Alligator mississippiensis: one gene and its partner. The main gene of each other region encodes a partner of the protein of the gene in region 2 in a complex. Links are inferred from orthologs where the notes say so. Each region holds a gene or a part of one and is shown on either strand. Other genes may lie near its edges.

What was found.
Region 1: the proteins of ITGAE (region 2) and ITGB7 are in contact, whole or in part, in a cryo-EM structure (PDB 8ZJF), measured with the Homo sapiens proteins. The link is inferred for Alligator mississippiensis from reciprocal best matches to the Homo sapiens genes ITGAE and ITGB7. Residues at the interface, in NP_002199.3 of Homo sapiens: Phe36, Leu38, Arg91, His92, Arg93, Gly94, Leu111, Arg113, Leu118, Ser119, Ser120, Leu122, Glu196, Glu198, Arg230, Tyr233, Glu234, Phe237, Glu238, Cys239, Asn240, Ser259, Gln260, Val262, Met263, Leu266, Arg300, Leu401, Gln403, Phe406; in NP_000880.1 of Homo sapiens: Val201, Leu202, Pro203, Ser206, Thr207, Val208, Pro209, Ser210, Lys211, Arg213, His214, Cys216, Pro217, Arg219, Leu220, Glu221, Arg222, Leu255, Asp256, Ser257, Pro258, Thr291, Phe292, His293, Thr294, Ala295, Gly296, Asp297, Lys299, Leu300.

Annotation. Positions count from the first base shown.
Region 1 is NC_081838.1:9,266,548-9,277,169, reverse strand, and holds the start of ITGB7 (integrin beta-7), read right to left. Parts: upstream 4,394-10,622; 5' UTR 4,337-4,393; coding exon 4,187-4,336; intron 3,270-4,186; coding exon 3,182-3,269; intron 3,071-3,181; coding exon 2,997-3,070; intron 1,906-2,996; coding exon 1,710-1,905; intron 1,390-1,709; coding exon 1,219-1,389; intron 654-1,218; coding exon 412-653; intron 1-411. Other genes in the region: RARG (retinoic acid receptor gamma), read right to left, coding at 6,744-6,925, 7,271-7,429, 7,597-7,801, 7,881-8,057, 8,341-8,501, 10,318-10,459. UniProt on the Homo sapiens protein: Integrin ITGA4/ITGB7 (alpha-4/beta-7) (Peyer patches-specific homing receptor LPAM-1) is an adhesion molecule that mediates lymphocyte migration and homing to gut-associated lymphoid tissue (GALT).
Region 2 is NC_081837.1:2,310,629-2,321,727, reverse strand, and holds the start of ITGAE (integrin alpha-E), read right to left. Parts: upstream 4,692-11,099; 5' UTR 4,657-4,691; coding exon 4,587-4,656; intron 4,061-4,586; coding exon 3,990-4,060; intron 3,519-3,989; coding exon 3,401-3,518; intron 2,867-3,400; coding exon 2,705-2,866; intron 1,769-2,704; coding exon 1,673-1,768; intron 1,407-1,672; coding exon 1,285-1,406; intron 766-1,284; coding exon 614-765; intron 1-613. UniProt on the Homo sapiens protein: Integrin alpha-E/beta-7 is a receptor for E-cadherin. It mediates adhesion of intra-epithelial T-lymphocytes to epithelial cell monolayers.

The DNA of each region.
Region 1 (10,622 bases), on a different chromosome or scaffold from region 2:
GCACCAACACACTTGTGAGCACACAGTCACACACATGAGGCAAGGCAAATGCACACCACAGCTGTCTGCACACGTGTGCTCACTCCTCTTCCATTCACGCTCATAGCCATGCATATGCACACCCCTTCATTCATGCACACACTGGTCCACTTGTGAACACACAATCCCAGTTGTGCATGCACAGACACATGCACACATAAAGCGAGATGAAAGCACACCCATGGCTGTCTGCACAAGTGTGCTCACATACCCATGCGCTTCCTTCCTTCCCAGCTCTCCACACACCCTGCCATGCACATACACTTTTGTGGACTCAGCCCCCCTGGGCTCACACACGTGTGGACACACACAGCCGTGCAGCGCTCCCCCACTCACACAAGGGCCCTGTTGCACCCACATATGAGCACCTACCTCGCACACAGCCACCTGCATGATGGCATCGAAGCCGCCCTCGGGCGCATCCAGGTTGCCCGAGATGCGCTGGTGCCCGACGCGGCGCTCAAACTCGCTGGCGTTAGCGGTGAGGGGCAGCACGTGGTGGAAGCTGGCAGGGGGGGCGCACTGCTCGCCCCGCTCGGGGCACGGGTTCTGCAGCTTGGCCGGCACCGTGCTTACGTAGGGCAGCACCGTCTTGTCCACGAAGGAGCCGAAGCCTGCGGGGCCGCACGTCCGTCAGCCTAGGGGTGGGGGGGCTGCCCCAGGGGTCCCTGGCCTCAGGGACCCTGCCCCCAATCCCCGTCCTGACCCCCCACCCTGAGGGAACCCCCCTAGGGACCCTCCCCTTGACCTCAGGGCCCCCCCCCCACCCCGAGAGACTCACCCTCATCCTCAGGGATGCCCCAAGGGCCCCCTGCCCTGAGGGACCCTGCCTCCAGCCCCCCCCCCCCACCCTTAGGGGTCTCCCCTGACCCCCCTCCCCACCCTGACTTTCCCTGGTCTGAGGGAACCCACCCAGGCCCTCCCACCCTGAGAGGGACCCTTCCAACCCCCCTGTGCCAAAGGACCCCCACCCTGGGGGACCCCTCCAACCCCCCCCCCACTCCACCCCAAAGGACCTTCCCCCAAGCCCGTGCCCATGAGGAACACCCCCAAAAAGACCCTGATCCCCCACCCTGAGGGACACCCCTGCCCATGAAACCCAGGGGTCCCGGGTCCCAGCCGACTGTCGCCCTGCGGGAGCCGGGGGTGCAACCCAGGCGTCCAGACAGGGGGCCACACCGATGCGCACGGAGGGGGTGGCTCGGCGCAGGGTGTCCAGGAGGGCGCTGCCCAGGCGCCGCACGTTGGCCAGGTCATCGCGCATGGAGTAGGACATGTCCATGAGGTAGTAGAGGTCCACGGGGAAGCCCTCGGCTCGCCGGAACCGCACCTGCAGCCGCTGCGCCGCCCCTGTGCACACAGCCCGGGTCAGGGCTCGGGGTCGGGGTCACCAGGGCCTGGGGCGCAATGGGAGGGGGCAGCAGGGCAGCGGGACAAGCCTCTGCTCATCTGTCTGTCTGCCCAAGCCCGGGGAACATGTGGGAGCCCACCAGGAGCCACGGGGCCGGGGCCTGGGACACGCCAGCCCATGGTGACATACCAGGGACACACCACCCGCATGCAAGGCAGGGCCGTGGCAAGGGACACGCCAGCCCCCAGTGACACAGGACCACATGCCTGCCAGGCTGCCGGGCCCCATGGCCCCTCTCCCCCCAGCCCCCAACACGCACCGGGCCGGAGGCGCAGGGCAATGCGCTGCGGGGCGAGCTGGGTGATGCGACCGTGGCTGGGGCTCAGGGGCTCATCCTCCAGCACCCGGGTCTCGCTGTCGGGCTCCACCACCTCGCCCGGGGGGCAGCCACGGCGCAGAAGCACGTCCCGCGTGGCACAGCGCGCCCCATCGCCCTCGCCCGCCTGCGGGAACCCCTGCCAAGGGCACAGGGCCAGGGCTGAGTCAGGGGCGTCTAGTGCCCGCCATGGGCACTGCCACCCCTCCCAGCGCCGTGCAAGACGTGCAGCATGGGCGCAGATCCTTATCGTGGCCGTTTGCCACCCGCATTTCCTGCTGCTGGAGGTGACAGACAGACAGGGGGTGCACCCCAGGCCAGCCGCAGCCTCCTCACCCTGCCCCGCCAGCGCAGCTCTGCCTCAGTTTCCCCCAGCATGGTGCTGGCCTCTGAAACCAGAGCCAAGTGAGATGCGGGCCAACGGCCCCAGCCCCACCAGCCCACTCTCCCCGCTGCTGGGCAGGATGTGGCCTGCTGCTGTCACGCACACAGGCAGCCCCTACCCCTGCCCTGCGCTGGGGGAGCACCGGGGAGGATTTCCGGGGGGGAGGGGGCTGCCAGCACCTGCGGGGCTCTCAGCGGTTCCCCGCTCCCACGGGTGCCCATGCCAGACCTAGTTCCAGGCCCTTTTTAGGGTCCGAGGGGGCAGGTTGCCAGAGACGGGGGGAGGACAGCCAGGCCTGAGCTAGCAGGGGCTGGGGGGAGCCCAGCATCGGGAGTGGGCAGCACCAGCAGCATTGGCAGGGGGGCAAGGGGCTGCGGGTCGGGAGCGAGGGGCACCGGCAGGGCTGGGGGTGGAGGCAGGGGGCTCCCCAAGGGAGGGCTGGATCTGGGGAGGGCGGAGGGGGGACGTGCCCTGACTCAGCTTGTTATTTCCCCTGGCCTTTTCGTGAGAAAGACCGAGAACAGAAAGGAGAAGAGTGAAGGTGAACCTGGGGCCACGGCCCGACTGGGACGTGACTCCCGCTGCCGGGGATCACCTGAGGGCAAGACACGGGGCGGCGGTGGAGCCCAGGCAGGGGGGCTGTGGGGGGGGCACTGGGGGGGGCAGGGGGCTGCGGGTCAGGAGAAGCACCAGCGGGGCTGGGGGCAGCAAGGGCTGCAGGTTGGGAACGAGGGGCACCATCGGGGCAGGGGCTGCGGGTCAGGAACGAGGGGCAATAGCAGGGCTGGGATGCGGATGCCCTGCTCTGCTTGCAGCCCACCCCGCTCCCCGCCACACATGCTTACCAGGTCCTTGCACCAGGCGCAGCTGGGGTGGGAGCGGATGCAATCCTGGCAGGAGGCCTGGGGCTGGCAGGCACCTGCGGGGACCGCACGAGGCGGGGGTGACGCTTGGCAGGGCCAGGGGCTGCGGAAGCAGCGCCAGCCCCGCACCGCCCCAGGCCCCCCGATCCCCCCGGCGCCCTGCTCACCTGCTCCAGCCTCTTGCGGGCTCGTCCCGGCCACCAGCCTCAGCAGCGCCAGGGCCAGGCCCACGCGCAACACGTCCCGCGGCATCGCCTGCGGGGACAGGGGTGAGGGGGTGTCCCGCCCGTACCCGTGCGAGTCGCACGAGGGGCTCCCACGGGCTGCGACACCCTCAGCCGGGGCTCAGAGGTGCCCCCCTCAGGCCCGCATCCCCCCGCACCCGCTCGTTTCCTCTGCATGCAGCGTATACGTGTACGTGTGCGTGTGAGCTGCCCCCCCCACCCCACCCCAGCTGCTCGTACACGCAACCCAGGGGCTCGGCACGGCGGGGCAGGAAGCGAGGCCCAGCAGTCGCAGCGCACCACCAGGTTCGGGAACTTCTGGATCCCCTCCCCGGCCCCGACACTCCCTGCCTCGGTTTCCCCCTCGGTGCCCTGGGTGGCGGGACCCAGGCTGCCCACGGGGCTGGCCAGGCCATGCCCAGAGCTGCCCACGGAGACGCCAGGACCCACCCGTGGGCGCGAGAGCCGCTCCTGGCTCCGAGGGTCAGGCAGGGCTGTCTGCACCCACAGTGCCTCGAGGCTGCAGCCGGGTGTCGTGCATGGCACGCTGTGTGCCCGCTGGAGCAGCCGCACCCAGTGCCCGGTCCTGCCCCAGCCCCGCCAGCCTGGGAGGAGCCCAAACCCAGCACCCCGCTCCAAGCCAGCAGGGACCTGGGCGGCTGCGCACGGTGCAGTACGATCCCCACCCCCGGAGCAGGGCCCAGGACAGTAGCACAGGCCTGGCCCGTCTGGCCGTCGCGCTCCCTTTTCCTTCCCCTTCCTCTTCCCTTTCTCTTGCAGCTGTGGTGCCTGCCCCGCTCTCCATTGCCCGCCTCCTTCTGTTAAGTCCTGACCCCTGCCTACCCCTGGTCCCATCTGCCTGGGAGTGGCATCATCCCTCCTTCTCCAGCCCCAGGTCTTGGCCTCCGTCTCTGTCCCCAGCCCTGGGCCCTGCCCGTACACACTCACCCTGCTGCGGTGGCAGGTGCCTGGCACTGGAGGCAGTAGCATGGCTGGCTCCGGGCTCCAGCCACGGACGGTGCCAGGTGAGGGGGTGGCGGCCGGAGCCTCCGATACGTGTGGCCGTAACTCCCCAGGCAGCTGCACCGCGATTTGCATCAACTTTTTGTGATAGGAAACCACAACCACGGGTGGGGTGGGGCGCAGCGCGTGGGGGAGGGCCGAGGGGCAGGGATGGAGGCAGGAGGGGCTGGAGGCAGAGGTGGGATTGGGGGGCAGAGGGGCATCACCCAGGCTGGGCCACTGGGGCCAGGCCCGAGGGTGCTGGGGTCACCGCCACTGCCCTAGGTCACTGCACCGGGTGCAGGGGGCGGCCCTGGATCACCCACCAGATGCAGGGGGGCAGCTGGGGGGACGTGCAGGCCTGGACCCCAAGCTGGGGCGTCTGCAGTCACAGCCATGTCCATCCTGCCCCCATGTCCATCCTGGCAGCCCTAAGCCCCACCCTCCTGCCCTGGGCCCTCCTGCAGCCTGGTCGCCCCAGGGGCAGTGTGTGTGCACAGGGTGTGTGTGCACAGGAGTGTGTGTGGGGCAGTGGGTTCCCGTGGGTGCCGTGTGTGTGTGCATGTATCTGTGTATGTGTGTGTTTATGGTGGGGGAGTTGCACTGTGCATGGGACGGGGAGCTGTGCCCCTACCTGGCAGTGCCCAGATTGTAGGGCAGGGCTCTGCGTACGTGCGTGTGCATGAGACGTGCCACTATGCACATTTGGGGGGGGGGGTGCCCGGGGGGGTCTGCATTCTGGCACCAGGGTCTGCAGGCGTGTGCATGCACCAGCGGTGCACACGGCTGTGCACGGGGGGCTGCACCCTGCTCATGAGCACACACAAGGCAGACCCTCCGCGTGCACAGGGAGCTGCCTGCACGGGCAGGGGAGTGCCCAGGCAGCGTGTCCAGGCGGTGGGGCTCCGCCCGCAGCAGTTGCTCCATCTCCCCCTTCCTGTTTTGCCGGCGGTTTGGTGCACACAGCACCCCCCTCCCGCCACGAACCCGTGTGGCCCCAGGGCCTGGCTCCTGCCGGCCGCCACCAGGGGGTGCTGCTGCCTCTGCCCCCATTCCTCGTGCCACAGGTGCCTCCTGCTGGGAACAGGGGGCATCGCTGGCAGCCCCCCCAACCACCCAGGCTTGAGAGCTGCACCTGCCTGCGGCCTCACCAGGCCGCGCAGACAGCACCGAGGCCTGGAGCCAGGCTGTGGCATGGACACGCCAGCCACAGGCAAGGCAGGGCCGTGGCATGGGACACGCCAGCCTGCGGTGACATGAAGCCACACACGTGCCAGGGGCTCGGGAGCGTTCAGCGGACACGGACACAGACAGCGTGCGGGCCACGGGCATGTTTCCATCGCTTTATTTTGCAAAAATAGAAAAGTGCTGCCCGGGCGGGCAGGGGGTGGGGGGCTGTAAACGTGCCGGGGCGCGGCCCCCCCGGCTGGGGGCGCTGGGCTACCCTGGGGCTGCGGGTGGGCTCCTCGCAGTACTGGATGCAACAGGGGGACAGCAGGGACCCCCCTGGGCAGGCTGGGGATGGGGGGGCGCCGCATCCCATGTAAACTCAAGGGAATAAATAACCTGTGCATAGCGTTGCAGCACCCCCCCCCCCCGCCCTTGCACCCTCCAGCTTGTAGTGTAGCAGGTCGGGACCCCCAGGCCCCCCCAGGGCAGGACCAAGCCAGAGGCTGGGGGAGGCAAGGCTCAGCAGCCCCTAGGATCTGCAGAGCGGGGGCATGTGCCGGGAGGGGGGTCCTTGGGGAGTCCGTGTTGGAGGAATCCCCCTGCCCCCCCCCAGTCCCCTTGGTCCCATGTCCCTCAGCACCCATGGGCTCAGGGCAGCCCCAGCCCCCCCTCCCCACCCCAGGCACCGTTCTGCAGCCCCCCGACACGCACCCCCAGCCCCCCCCACTCACACTTTATACAGCAACAACCTCGGTAGCGGCTCCCTCCCAAACTTGGACCTCGGCCCCGAGATCCGCGTCCCCCCCACCCCCGTTACACCCCCCTCTCCACAGCTCCAGGAGGCAGGGCAGGGCGGGGGCTGGCGCCCCCGTGTCATCCCCTGGCCCCATCCCTCTTCGTCTTCAGCGAGTCGAATAAATACAGCCCCAGACGCCTGGGTCCCTCGCAGCTGGTCGGCTTCACGGCGGGGATCCGCTGGGGACGGGGCGTCTCAATGCCCCCCCCCAGGGACACAGGCCAGGGTCTGTCTCTGCTGGTGCAGGGGGGGGCAGCAAATGCATGCGGAGGGGACCCCCCTGGTCCTTATCCGGGGCTCGGCCTCGCCCCCGTTTTTGGCTTGAGGTTGCCCGGGACTTTGGCAATGAGAAGCTGGGCTGGAGTAGGGCAGGGGTCCAGGCTGCCCCCACCCCACTTAAGGCAAGGGCTATACCTCTGGGTGGGCCTGTGGGCCCAAGTCAGCGTCCGTATCGTGCTGCGCGGCCCCCGCGGGGCAGGGCAGGTTGGAGTGTCCGGCCCGGCGGGCACAGGAGCCTGGCAGGGGCACGCCTGGGCGCTATGGGGTCTCCTCGGGGCTGTGGTCCCCACCCGGGCTGTCAGCAGCGTGGGGGGGCTCAGTGGCCGCAGGCGGCTGTGACACATCGTCCTCGAACATCTCGGGGTTCTCCAGCATCTCCTGGATGAGGGGCGGCATCGGCCCTGGGATCTCCATCTTCAGCGTGATGGCCCGCTCCGCGCCTGCCGACACAGGGACCAGAGTTGGCGCAGGGGGCCACGCTGCAAGCTTCCACACAGTAGTGCCACGGGGATGTGAGTGGGCACAAGCAGAGACAGCTTCTTCGCTGCAGGACAGCCTGTGGCACCCAGGCTGCAAGCTTTCCCCCAGCAGTGCTATGCCCAGCCCCAGAGCTGTGAGCTGCAAGCTTCGCCCCCTACCACCGCCCTCCGGCAGTGCTGCACCCGGCCCCAGGGCTGTGAGCTTCCCCAGCAGTGCCACACCCATCCCTGGGGCTGCGAGCTCCCGCCAGCAGTGCCATGCCTGGACCCAAGGCTGCGAGCTCCCTGAACAGTGGCACGTGTTACCTTTGGTGCTGATGCCGCGCAGGTCGGTGATCTTCATGAGCATGCGGGGAAACATGTAGGGCTTGTTGGGCCGGCGCCGGCGCGCGTAGATCTTCAGCGCTTCCAGCAGCGGCTCTTGCAGCTTGTCCACCTTCTCAGGCTCCTCCAGGTCCATGCGGTCTGCAGGGCACCAGCGGTCTGAGCCTTGCTGCCCCCCTGCCCCCAACGCTCGCAGCACCCCTTGCTGGCACCGCTGGGGAACAGAGCAGCCGGGAACAACCCCCAGCGCCCGCTGGGACTGGCACAGCCAGGAGCTCCCCCCACCCTGAGCCCACAGCCCCTGGCACCTCCGCAGATGAGGCAGATGGCGCTGAGCAGCCCGGTCTCAGTGTCGTCCATCTCAAGGGGCAGCAGCTGCCCGGCGAAGGCAAACACCAAGTCGGTGAGGGGCCCGAAGCCAGCGTTGTGCATCTGTGTGCGGTTCAGCGTCAGCCCATCTGAGAAAGTCATGGTGTCCTGCTCCGGCGTGTAGCGCGTGCAGATCCGCAGCATCTGGGAGAGCGGGCAGGGGTCAGCCCTGCACGGCCCCCTCCTTGCCACGGCCCCCTCCCGGCCGCCCCCTGCCCCTCACCAGGATGTCCAGGCAGGCGGCTTTGAGCAGAGTGATCTGGTCGGCGATGCTGAGTGAGGTAAAGCCGGGCAGGCGCTTGGCGAATTCCACGATCTTGATGATGCACTTGGTGGCCAGCTCGCTGAACTTGTCCCACAGCCCCAGGTCCAGCTGCACCCGGTGGTCAGCGCTCGAGTTCTGCGTGAGGGGAAGGGGTTGAGGCCGAGCGGTGCCCCGAGAGGGGCTGGGGGCTTCTGCACCCATTTCGCAGGCTGGGGAAGAAAACCCGGGTGTCCAAGGAACCCAGGCGTCCTGCTGGGAGCACACCAGGTGCCACCTGGTGCCCGGCTTGCAGCACTGCAGCTGTGTCTGGGCACCTCCCGCATCCCCCAGCCGGGCTGAGCACGGCTTCCGCTCCTCCGCTCGCGACAGCAGTGAGCAGCCCAACACATGCAACCCAGGCTCGAGGAGGGGCTCTCACCGTGGTGTACTTGCCCAGCTGGCACAGCGAGGGGAAGGTCTCCTGGTGCGCCTTGCTGACCTTCTGGATCAGCTCCTCCAGCTCGGGCGTCAGCTCGTAGCTGTCCCCCACTGCTTCCTCCTTCACCTCCTTCTTCTTCTTGTTCCGGTCGTTCCTCACGGCTGGGGGGCAGAGCAGGCGAGGGGTGGGGGTCAGCACGCAGGGCAGCCACGTGGCCTGAACTGAGACCCTGAGCCACACCCCAGTTGAGGGTGGCGCCGTGCCTCGGTTTCCCCACCTCCCCTGGGCTCTGTGAAAGGCTGCCTACATAGCTGGGCTTCCCGGGGCAGCAGCCTGGCACCTCCCAGCTGGGTCATACCAGGCCAGCCCTCCCCTGGAGACCTCTCCCACTGATGTGGCACTGAGGGGCAGGTGGTTTGGTGGCAGCGTTGGCCACCGGGCACCACAGGGGCAGCCTGGTATCAGCTGTGCCGGAGAGGCATCGGGCTCCCTCCCCCCTCCGCCCCAGCTTGGAAACCACCGAGATTTCTGCTCTCGGCCGCAGGAAAACAGGAAGCCGAGGACAAGGCGGCTGGATAGCGCCACAGCCAGGGGGGCACGGCCCAGCCAGCCTCCCACCCCTTTCTGCCCCCCAGCCAGGCCATAGACCCCACCGCTCCCCCCCTTGTACCCAGGTGTGTCCCGCAAGCGTGCACTGGCACCTGCGCGGGCACCTGCCAGCTGGGAGCACGGCCCCAGACTGGCTGCCTGCCGGGGAAAACCCCACAGCGACTGGCTGCTGGTGCTGGGGGGCTGGAGGAGATGCATTCCCAGCTTCCTCCTCCCTAGGGCTCTGCCCTGGGTTCCCTTGGGGCAGGAGGGGGACCAAAATGACCCCCCCACCTTTGCCCCCAGGTGCCTGGGGGAGCTGGGCTGGGGGGCGGGGGGAGGAAGCGCTGCCCACGGCCTGCACAAGACAGGGGAGCATGTGCCCCGCAGACCAGACCCAGCTCAGCAGCCCCCCCGCACACGTGCTGCCCCCCCGCGGCGCTCGCCCGGCTGCACTTCCTGCTAACCCGACTGCACCAGGCAGGAGCTGCCAACAGGATGCGCCAGCGGCAGGATATCCACTTATAGCCGCCCCGGCACAGGGCTGCCGGTGGGGGGGGGGGGGGGGCATCCCCCTCCAGCACCGGGGCAGCTGGCACCCCCACCCTGTTCAGCCCCGGGGCAGGGGCTGCGGATCTGGGAGACCCCCCTACCCCATCCTCCATCCCATTGGGGAGGGGGCCAGGAGAGCTCCCCGCAGCTCCAACACCCCCTCCCCTGCTGCAGGGCACCCCGAAACCCCCCCCAACACCCCCTGCTTCCTGTCTCCTAGGCAACAGGTCTCCCTGCATCCCATAATCCCCCCTCCCTTCCACTCTTAAAGTGACAGGCGCCCGGAAATCAATCTCAGCAGACACAGACACGGCTAATTAGGGGCTCTTAAGGAGACGGTGATGAATGGGGGGCCTGCCCTAACGGGCACAGGGACAAGCCCTCGCCGGGGGGAGTAAAAGCAACAGCACGGAGAGACACTCCATCTCCCCGCCAGCCTCTGACAGCCCTCGGAGAGCAACACGAGCCAGACCCCATGTCCTGCCCTGCTGGGATCAAGGACCAGGTTCCCTATGGCTCTGGTGCCCCAGGGCTGGTCTGCCCACACGTGCCCATGGCCACACATGTTGGCAGTGCGTGCCAGCACGTCCCAGCATAGGCACCACATTTAGCAAGTCCGAGACCAGCCCAGCAGCAGAGGCTGGGGCCACGACAACTGGGCCCAGGCAACTAAGGCACAGTCTGACCCCACAGCTGAGCCATGCCCTGCCGGCCAAGCAGACCGCCGGTCCCATTTGCGCACTCGGCCGGGACGCGGGACCCAGCTGCACCCCAGAATCAGCCACAGAGGGGCAGGAGAGTGCAGGGGGCCCGTGAGCCCCCCCTGCCCGGGCTCACCTTCCTTGGACATGCCGACCTCGAAACACTTCTGCAGCCGGCAGTACTGGCACCGGTTCCGCGTCACCTTGTTGATCTGACAGTTCTTGTCCCGGTGACACGTGTACACCATGTTCTTCTGGATGCTGCGGCGGAAGAAGCCCTGTGGGGAGTGTGGAAGTGAGCAGGGCCCAGCGCCCCAGGCAGGCACCAACCTCACCCCCACCCTGCAGCCCCGACCGATCACGGGCTCTCTCCTGCCCTGAGTCTTGCCCCTGCCCTGGGCACTCCAGGACCCAGGATCATACCCCCGCTCCCCAGCCTGA
Region 2 (11,099 bases):
AGCTGGTCTGCAGCAAAGTCATAGATAACATTCTCTAAAACAGCAGTTCTCAACCTTGTTAGACTCAAGGTCCCCCCTTGGAAGATGCCAGCTCTTAGCTTTCACTCGTTTTTTGACTATGCAAAAATAACAATGCAATTCTTCTGTTGCAAAGAACTCAGAAAGACCACAGCAGGTCATAATGTTTTTGATACTATGAATTCCTATATGAAATCTCTGGGTTTTTCTTGTGAATCACATACAGGTGTTTACACACCCAACAGGGCTAATATAGTGCAACCCCCTGGATGAGAATCACTGCTCTGAAAGATGAAGAGCAAGCCAGCAACACAGGCAGTAAGGATAATTCTCTGAGCCTCGTGACTTAATTCCAATAGTTTACTAAATCTCCAGATCTCTCCTGCCCAGGGCAGGGGGTCAGACTAGAAAATCTACAAGGTCCCTTCCGACCCTACATCTATGAATCTATATTTGCAAAGCTGTGCAGCACCAGAGTCATTGATTTCTGATGCAGGCCTGGAAAGGTCTTCAGTGTTAGCTCTCCCCATCACTCTTGATGCACCCCAGGAATTCAGCATCTCCATTTTTTTTTTCTCTCTGCTTCACTACTTACAGGACGTGCTGGATGGCAGAGGCTGTTCTGGTCACATTGCGCAGCTGGATGACGTTCTGGATTTTCTGGAGAGTGGCACTTGTATTCCAGCTGTCCCGCAGGTCAAACTCTGTCCTGATGTCCATGCCATACTGGACAAGGGCAAAATTACACTGGGAAGAAGGGACATACAGGTGTTCATTATTACTAAAGGCAGAACCAGAGAACCCCAGCTCTTCATGACAGTGGGTCAAGGAAATCCCAACTGAGGAAACAGCATTAACGAGGCAGAGGCAGACAATACGAACATTTCAGACAGAAATCACACCTACGTGCTGAGGAGGTGGGTCCAGCATTTAACCTGAAAGCTGGTTTAGTTTGGGGAAAATTAGGGTCTCAATAATATTAACATTTTATTCTGCATTGTCCAGTTGGACCAGAGAATTTTAAGCGCAGGCTAAACTTATTTTTCAGGCTCTTGTTTTCATGTTATTTTTTTGCTCTATGTGCAGGCAGCAGAGGGAGCAGTTTGGAGTATAACTGAACAGACACACAGCTTTTGGCTATGCACTGGCCCTCCTTGGAGGTTTTCCATTCAATGACTGATTCTTGACTAACAAAACGGGGGAAGAGCAACAATAGCACAATACAGCATCTTCAGCGAGACCAACCAGACCAAGCAAAGAAGATACCTCGAAACACTTCTTATAGACTGTTTCCATCATGGTGTAGATGAAGGCCTTCGCCCTTTCAAAATCCTCAGGCTCGATGCTCCCGGACCCATCCAAAACAATAGCAATCTCTGTTCCTGCATCTGCCGGGGACAAGAATTCAAAGGATGCTGAAGGACATGGAGGCAGCAACTGGGAGTTCAGAGCGCCTCACCCAGCCCACCAGCAGTCCAGCATTGCAAAAAGTTTGTAAGGGCTCAATAGCCAGCTACCACAAAACCACAAAGCTGTTAGTTCACAGTCCGCATGGAGGGCAGAGCTGTTGGCAGCCACACAGCGAGTGCCCAGAATCAAGGGTAGCAAGTGATATTTAACAGCATGTTCCCTTGCAAGATATTTCCTCACTTACACATGTCGTCGTCCTCCTCCATGCCAGGCTCATAGCTGTTATTGTTCTTGTCGCTGTTTTCATCTCTATGCCCACCTTCTTTATTTGGGGGATTTTCTACTTAAAAAAAAGCAATTTAGTGTGTAGATGTACCTTGCAGCTATACCCTGTGCCATGATCCAGTGACAAGCCAACTCTGGGGCTTCATGCTTGTGCACTGTGCTGTCACCATCCTTTCAGTCTAAGAAGGATCAGGCTAACGTATGGGCTGAAGACTCGTGTGAAATGGATGACAGCCTTGCATCTCAGGTGGCCTGTTACAGTCCTGAGGTCCTTTAAAACAGGCATGCATAGTTGCTTGGGTCAGAGTATAAATGAAGGGGAAGCAGAGGTAAGTGGTGAATAGCATGAATTCTCCCTGCCTCATCTGCTGACCAAGGCAGGAGAAGGATGACATTTCTGAGGACAGCAGAATGACAGAGCTTTTAGCAAGGGTGTCCAGAACCCCGAAAAGGAACAAAGCTTCCCAGTGTTTTGAGAGGGGACGAGGGGAGAAAAACAGGCATTGTTTTCCCAGCATCCGTTCCGTATCAGGGGTACTGTGATCTGCCTCCAAAATAGCTGCTTCTTCGATCAAAAAGTCTTTATATTGAAGCTCGTAGCCAACAGAGTCTAATCAGGGCTGAGTTTACCGCCCTGTCACCCAGCCATGCTGACTATGTCCAGCTAATACTGTATTGTGGTTTATACACTTGTCCCCACAAGTGCTTCAGCAATGGCAGGGGTGTACTTGGTAGCCGTGTTGGTCTGAGACAAAAAGACATACAATGGCAGGAAACTTGCAGAGAAAGCTCAGCTCTTGGCTCATTACTGTGTTGCAGCACGGAAGACACACTGCTGCAAATCAGCCTTGGCCTGCCACATTTGGAATAACTTCATTTCCCCTCCACACCACCCTCCCACCTGCAGGGTGTGAGGTATTTAGCTGCATTTAACACACGTCTCTACCCTGCCCCCCTTAAGAGATGATCTATATTACCACCCAGCACTTACCTTTCATTACATGCTCGCTTCCTAAATCATCACGTGGGTGATTGCCAGTACTACGGATGCCCAGGGGGGTGTGTGTGCTGATGAAGTCGTCAGGTTCGATAACATTAACATTGTCCTTGTTGCTGCTGCTACTTTGGTCACTGCTGTTTAATTTGTTCTCAACTGTGCAAATGAAAAAAAAGGCAGGGGAAGTTTTTAGAAACACACATTTTTAAATAAAGCAGTTGGAGACGCAGCTCTGTGTCAGATCACAGTGGGTCCCGAGTCAGCCCTCTAACCTAAGAACCAATGGCACCTCGAGGCTGCCTGCCTGGCACTTTTGAAGATCGCTTTAGGCACCTGCTAATGGTTCTAAATCTGGCTGTACCTGCCCAATCCTCCAGCATGCACTAGGCACACAACACAACATAAGTACACCTTTGTATTCCAGAATGTCAAAGGCCAAATGCTTCCCAGACATTCACAACACACAAACTCAGAGCAAACACACACGTGTCACTCAGAGCAGAATTCAGCTCCAAATTTCTATCACCTAGATGCTCCAAGTGGGTGGCAGAAGCTACCCAGCCGGAGTTCAAGAGGCCTCTAGAGGCCTTCAGGGCAGCAGGGTTCGAATGGTACTCTGTGCGCAGCACAAAAGCAGTTCCCTCTGTCATGGTCCCTCCCCAAAAACATGGCATTGGCATTGTTCCATACTGATGTTGGCGAGGTTGAGGAAAGCCTTGTCTTGAAATTCAGGAGTAAGCAGGCTGCAGATTCCATTCAGGTCCTCCACAGTGCTAAAAGCTTGGCGACGCTTTTTCTGCAGACAAGCCTGTGTGGGGAGGGATGATTTACTGATGAATGGCAGCGAAAGGACCCGAAAGAAGATGGCCAAAGAAGCCACGTGCCAACATTTCAAATCAAACAGGCCAAAGAACCTCTCATCAAGAGTCACCAAACCATTCCCCTCTCTTGCAAAGTGCTGAAAGTCTCTTAGGAGAGAGACATAGCAATACGTGCCCTCCCCACCCCAGGCTTCCCTCTGCCAGCCTCTCCGTCAGGTTGGAGGGCTTCAGCAAAGCTCTGCTTCTTCTGACAGCAAAGTCCCTCCCCAGCCAAAGAGAAGGTGCCCCTGATCTCCCACATGGTAGATCAGGTGCTGTGGCTTGCGGACCTAGGCTTCCACCAACGCACAGCAGCTCATCTCCATAAGGTGTTTCTGACCACTTGTGTATCGCAGCAAATGTAACTTGTCCTCTACGAGAACACATCCAAGGCCTTGCTGTATTTTCCTGTCACTTACCAGGATCCATTCTGCACTTCTAGCTATAGCTATGCCACCGTCCTGGATATTTTTTGACTTAAAAACATTTCCTGAAAATAGTGAAATTAAATGTAATCAATAAATAGAGAAACAGCAAACAGGGTGGAAATATAGACAGGTGCATATGCTAATGCCCATCATCTCAGCATTTCTCATGCTTGGGCTGATCTTATAAATCCAGACCAGGGCTACAACTATCCAGGACGTCTTTAGCTGTAGTATTTACACTTAACCCATCTGTTTATATGCTAAGTCCAGCTCTGGGGTGATAGGCTTCATGGAAGCACACACAAGTCTTTCCATCAATGGTGATGGGATTTGGACCAAGCCTTACATGCCAGAGAAGTCTCTGAGCACTCATCAGCTTCCCCCTTTCTCAGCTAATGTGTATCTGGATTTCTTTTTCTCATCAGTGGTCCAAGACAACCTGGAGACCTAATGTATCAGGAACCCCTCTCTGCCTCCCTCCTGTCCTCTCTGTGAAGTTGTACTCCAGTGTTTGTCAGACTCCTCCCTCCCCCATCCTATTCAAAATTTACTTGAAAAAACTACTAAGAAGAATGAGCTGGACTGTACCTCTCAGACCAATCTCCTGACACTTGATCGCTTCTTTGGCAAGAGTGCACTTATTCAGCCTGCCAAGCATCCCGTTTTGGTTGTTAACTTCTGAGGAAGTTGCCAAAATCCTGAAGGATATGTGGAAGTAAAAAAAAAAGTACAATATACAAAGGAGTGTACAAAGCAATAGACAAAGGAGTGACCAGTGTAACCCTCCTGATCAGCATGACTTCCCCTTTATTTTGCACTGTGTCACTATTACGGCTGACCACTGGAGTGGGTTTATGTGATCGCTGCCTGGGACCAGATCAGTAAATGAGTCACCCCTCATTTTCCTAACCCCCCCATGCTAATACAACAGCTCTCCAGCCCAGATTGCAATGCTGAAGCTAAGAGTGTTTGTCATTTTAATACCATGAGCTATGGACATAGCCCCCCAGTGACTGGTCATATATCCAACCACCACTTTTCCCCAAAGATATCATGGAAGATGCAGTTTTCTGGAAAACATAAAATTCCCTAGTTTTAGAGCAAAGCATGGGACTGAATCATAAAACACCTGCCAGGTGAATTACACTTCTCTTTCTGCATCAGCCACTTTATGTGCTGCAGCAGGGAAGAGGAGGAGGGGGGTTTTCTTTTCTGCTCCAAAGCCTAAATCAGCCCTCCATTCTGCAGAAATGCACTGCCGCAGCAGCGATCTCCAGACACTACATGGGTTGTCTCCACATTAGCCTTCCTACTCCCCCAGCCCAGCCCCCCACTTGTATTCCTGACAAACCCACGAGAACTGCATCAGTTTCTATCTGGTTACCGTTTCCAGCCCAAGCTTGAGTCACACCTGGTAGCTGTGGGGCAGCAGCAGCTGCTGCTACCCAGAGATGAGACACAAAGCCAGGAAATGAGCAGCCTGGCAAACGTCGTAGTGGAAGGGTGGTCTAGTCACGCAAGCTGCTGCCTGTACAGCACGGTGACCCAGTTATGGGGGGAATGCAAGAGTGAAAGCAGCTTGAAATCCAAAGCCTGTGAAACAAATGCTTTAATGCATAAATGTTATGAAGGCTCCTAATGATAATGACTGGATATAAAAGCTAATTACTTACACACAAATTTATAAGGCTCCACAGAAGCCAAATGATGTTTTGTATCTCACAAGATGTTTAAACTAGGGCCTGGCACTGTGGGTACCAGGAGCATGATGGGGATTCCCAGTGCCCCCACACCAGGGAACAAGCATCCCTGAGGACCTGAGAGGGGGTTATTTCTTGACTCTTACCAGGCTTTGTGGCCATCAGAGTGCTGAAGAACCTTGGGCCAAGAAAGATGGTCTCCGTGAGGTGTCATCCACTTCTTGCTGGTGTCAATATTGAAACCCCTCAGGGGCTCAATGGCTGAAAACGAAAAACGTCATAATGGGCCACGACCTGCCAGGTGAGTTACCACTGCCCTGGTCACTGCTTACCCCTGGCCAGTGCCTTCAGCAAGGAAACAGCCAGGGGTATGATCCAGCTAAACCATGGAGCCTCACTGCTTCAGATCAAGAACCTTTCTGGTTCACCTTGGGAGACAGATGCAGTATGAAACATAATGTTGCTCTTTACTACTTCCCTTTAAATGAAGAGACAGAAAGCAGCTCCTGCTCAAGAGTTCAGAAAGCGCAGATGTAGGGAGACCATGCCCTGAAATACATCACGAGACAACCCTGCAGAGACTTTTAAGGCTTCAAACACAGCCTAATCCAAGGGGTGGATCCAGCGAGCACTTGGAGGGCTAAGAGCAGGTTCGCACTGGTCATTAGGAGGTCAGTTCAGTGCTGGAATGGACTGAGCTGGAATTAAGACCTGCAAGGCAGGAAACTTATCCATCCTAGTTTCAGTACAGCTGGATTCCCTTCCCCACCCCATTCTTGCTCCCAGCTGGTAAGAAATCACTGTGGCTTGTGCAAGCCTCACGTCACTGAGGATCTTTATCAGTGAGGTCAGGACTGGTAAAAAAAATGTTACTCAGCAATCTTGGAGGCTGAAAGCATTTACCTGCAGAAGACAGCTTGGACAGCAGCAGGATTCACTTTTTCCAGCCCCCAACCATCTGTGCCTAAAACCCCCACCCAGCACAACTAAGTCTAGCAGGATGAGAGTGTGGAATTCATGGGATTTCTGCCCTTTTTGGTTCCTTTTTTGAGAGTCCTGATGAGAGAAGAAATGAAAGCCCAACATAGAGTCAGGTGTGGGGATGTGGATGCAGCGCCAGAGGCAAACCATTAAATACACAGCCCTCAAACGTCATGCATACTCCGTGCTGTCCCAGACTGAAAATGTTAGTAAGCCGGACAACCTGAAAGACACACAGAACGTAGGGTGCAATGACAAACACCAGTTGAAACACTTGACTTCTGTTGAAATATCCAGGGTTTGCAATGCCCTGACAATTCAGAAAACTCTGCGGTTTGCTCAGAGATGAGACCCCAGGGCACTCTGGTTCCAAACTCTGACAGTGCCTTTGAGATGCTAAACTAAAACTGGATTAACATTTTGTAAGTTCTCCTGCTGTGACCAGCCTGACCTGCCAGTGCAGTTTGCATAGCTTATATCCCCCTTTGAACAGTCATCCCAGGATTTTGTCCATTGTCCCTTCTGCTGTTCAGACTGTGGGAGAGTCAGATTCTGTTTGTGTTCACACCAGGGGCGGTGGTCTTGTGACCAAGAGCTGAGGTGGATCTTACAAAACGCATGGAGGCAGAATCATTGCCCAACCACCCTGGCTGCCAAAATACAACTGAGGGGTGGGAACTGAAATACTGTGGCCAACACAGTTTCCTGTAGCAGACTGTTCTTAAAGCTTTGCTTCTTCTTCCTCAGACATGCTACAGCGGCTTGGTGTGCAACTTATTTTGGAACTTGGGAGGCCTAGTCCAGGCCACCTTTCTGCTTTGCAAATCCTGTGCTAGCATTCAGACACCTGACTCCTGCACTCTTGCATCTAACTACAGTTATTTGAAACCCAGGCTTTTTGCCTCTGCTGCAGGCTGGCATGACATACCTGCCTCTGACACATGCATCATATGCAAGACAATCTGCAACAGCTTCATCCTGCTCTGGTTGCTGATTTGCTATTTGCATCAGAGCAAAGACTATTTCTGGCTCTCAAAGTGTTCAAAGAAGGCCACAGCCTATGTTAACAGCTGCATTTGAAGTAGCCCAGTGCTCCTCTGTTTCCACATGTGGCCCACTAACCTCAATGGGGTTGTACTGATGATACACAAGAGAATTTCACCTCTAGTCCCATTGTACTTTGGGACCCCATTCTGAGCTCAGTTAAATTTATGTTAACTTGAAGCAATTCCAGTGAATTCAATTAGATTAATGCCAGATTTATGACAACGTCATTTATATAAAATCCTGGCCCTGTGTAAATAAAGACAGATCATTACCACTACCAAATACACAAATATTCATTAAACCATCCGTTACAGCCTGTAACATTTTCTACTTCTAAAAACACCAGTTGTGCTGATTATCAGCAATCCTTCGGCACTTGGCTCTGTGCTTGCAGCTCCATGTTATCAGCCTACTAACCATACATAGTTTCTGGAGAGAGATTTTCCAAAGAAAAGTGTGCCAGTTACATTGAAATGCATCCTTAATACAAACTGGTACACTGCAGACATTCCTGCAGAGCTTGTCACAATAGGAAGGATGCAGGACACCAAAGAAACTTTCCACTAATAACTTGTTTCAAACCAAATAAAGAGCCCATATGTGGATGTCCCTATGCATCGTTGTTATAATTCATGGGTCCCTGATCTTTACTGACTCATGAACTACAATACTGAGTCAGTAACACACTGAGGGCAACACTATACTTTGCTCTCTCCATCAACCTCTGTTTTAGCTTTTTATTATCCTGCGTGGCAGTGAGCAATGCTGGAAGGTCTATGGGGAAAATGTTTCCTGCGAGTCTTGTGTTGGGGGTCACTGCTATAGTTGGTCTTGATTGCTCCTTCAAACTAATCCTTTTTGGTGATCCTTCCTTGTAATCTCAATTTACTCCCCGCCTGCCACCATCATCCCACCCTCTGGATTCACGTTGGTTCATCTTGTTTCACTTAAAGCTTGCAATCTTGAGAACGTGCCTGTTAGCAATGCTCTGTAGGAGCTGACAATGCTGTAGTCACACCACAACAGACTCACTGCATGTTGTGGCTTTCTTTTTCAGTTGTCATAATTTGTTTCAGGTTTCTGATGAGAGAAAAAAAAAGGCTAGACACCGTCTCACTGAGAAGTGGGAGGCTTTATTCAATAGCTCCAACACTCAGGTCCTTGCCTTGGGCTATTGGTGCAAAAGACATCGCTACTGTTTCATGGGGTTCATGGCACTTAGAGACAGGTCTGCAGAACAAGGACAGGACTAGGGGGATGCTTCTAGAAATGTGCATCTTTGGTTGTAGCACTGATCTAATAGTGTCCAAGGATTATGGGATCACGTCGTAGCAAGGTTCCCTGTTTTGGGAGCCCTGTGCATGGTTCAGTTTCAGGCCTCTATTCTTTACTAAACAACAGGGGTGACAAAAATTGGCTATTTTTGCGGTTTAATTGTGTCATGAGGAGCTTTTTTAGGATTTAAATGAGTTTGCTATGTTGCAAACTAAGCCACTTCCGCGTGCAATATTATAACATTGCAGCCTTTGACAGTTCACCCCCCCCCTCCCCCCCGGGTGCCACGGGGGAGGCGGGCTGAAGGCAGAAGCAGTGAGGGGCCTGATCCTTTTTTTTTCCCCCATGGACCTGCCCACATCTCCCACGGCCGGGGGGCGAGTTGCCGGTGGGCTGAGCAGCGCCTGAGCTGCGGAGAGCCCCAGTTCTTCTTTTCACCATGGCGGCACCCCAGGAGGCTGCCCAGGTAGCAGGCAGGTGCTGCCCCAGCCCGGGCTCAGAGAACTGTTGGATCAGGCTGGGTGCTGCCTGTGAGCTGAGGCAGCACTGGCCCGCTAGCTGCCCGCCTGGGTGGCCCCAGGGGGCACTGCTGCCATCCAGGTCTGGGGAGGAAGGTCCAGGGCTCCCCCCGCACAGCTCAGGGGTAGCTCAGCTTGCCCCCTGGCCGTGGGAGAAGCAGGAAGGCTCCACAGGGCGGAAAAAAAAAAAAAAAAAAAAAGGATCAGGTCCCTCACCGTAATGCCCCTAAATTGAAATGGTGAAATTTTAATTGCAATTAAAAAAATTTGCCATTTCAATTTAAAGAACTAAACCCCTGTCACATGTACAAGCAGTTCAGGACTTAAAGCATAACAGTAATGCAACAAGGCCCCTCCACAGCTCAAGTCCCCTTACAACTGCATGGTTTGCAGTGGTCACGGTTGGCCTCTGAGCCCCTCCTATCAGACATGGTTTTAAAAAAACTACAACTGTGTTGAAATCACTTCCCCGTGGAAAGGCAGACATCTTCAAGTCAGCAGACGCTTCTTAAGCAGACAATTGTGCATGACGCATCCCAGCAAAGGGAACTGTGGCTGTGGCAAACCTCTGCTCTTTTGACTGCTTATGTGATATGAAGTGGCTTAGGACTGGAGGCAGTGTGGGCTGGAGTGACTGCAGAGCTTGGAGCCAGAAACACTTGTAATTTTCAGCTCAGCTTTGCCACCAACTTAATGCACACAAGCCAATCGCTCCCTCTCTGTGGGTCAGTCTTCCCCCTCCTTGTAAATGAAAGATCAAACTAACTTTCCTTCCTTTGGCATTCCAAAGATCGATGCTTTAACATTTGTACCGAGCTTTGAATGTGTCATAGTTAAAAATATATTGTAAAACACCCAGCAGCTTTTTTGTGCGTCATATAACTGAATTCTGTGGGTGAAACATCTCTAGAGAGTATATATTATGGGAAGATCTGCTCAGAAGCTTCTAAGCACGTAATCAAGACATGCTTATACACGGAGCCCAGCTTTTGTCAGCTATTACCCAAGAAAGCGCAAACCACATGCACAAAGGGTGACACAGAAAGTAGAAAAGTGAGAGAGCAGAGCTTCTGTGTGCTCAGATGAGCAGAGAGTACAACCCCCCTCCACTTCAGCCCCTCATTTTAGTGCAGCCTTACATAGGCTACCTCAAGACAGGAGAGAGTCTAGGGAATTTTAGCTGGTACTGTAAAAATCCCCACACAACAGCTGCATGTTTAATAGACTGAAAGTTGCTTATGCCAACTTTGAGATTGAGTATTTTATCCCACGTCAGAGGTCTCTGCCAGCACAAATGGACAATACACTCCCCTTCCATGGCTGTCCTATGAAAACTACTTGAGATTCATGCCATTTAATATTGCACATGTTAAAAACTATATTTAAAGAACGTTAATGTGGCAAAGCCAAGCAGTCAAAAGCTAGGATACGTCAGACTTAAGGTTACCTCTGCAAGGCACTCCCTTGAAGCCAACATGCCATCTCTGCCAATGCCAAGCTCCTGCTCCAAAGCACAAAAGTGCAACGGATTCTCAATTAAGTGGCTGCTAAGCACCATGAGGAAAGCAGCATTTTTTTGT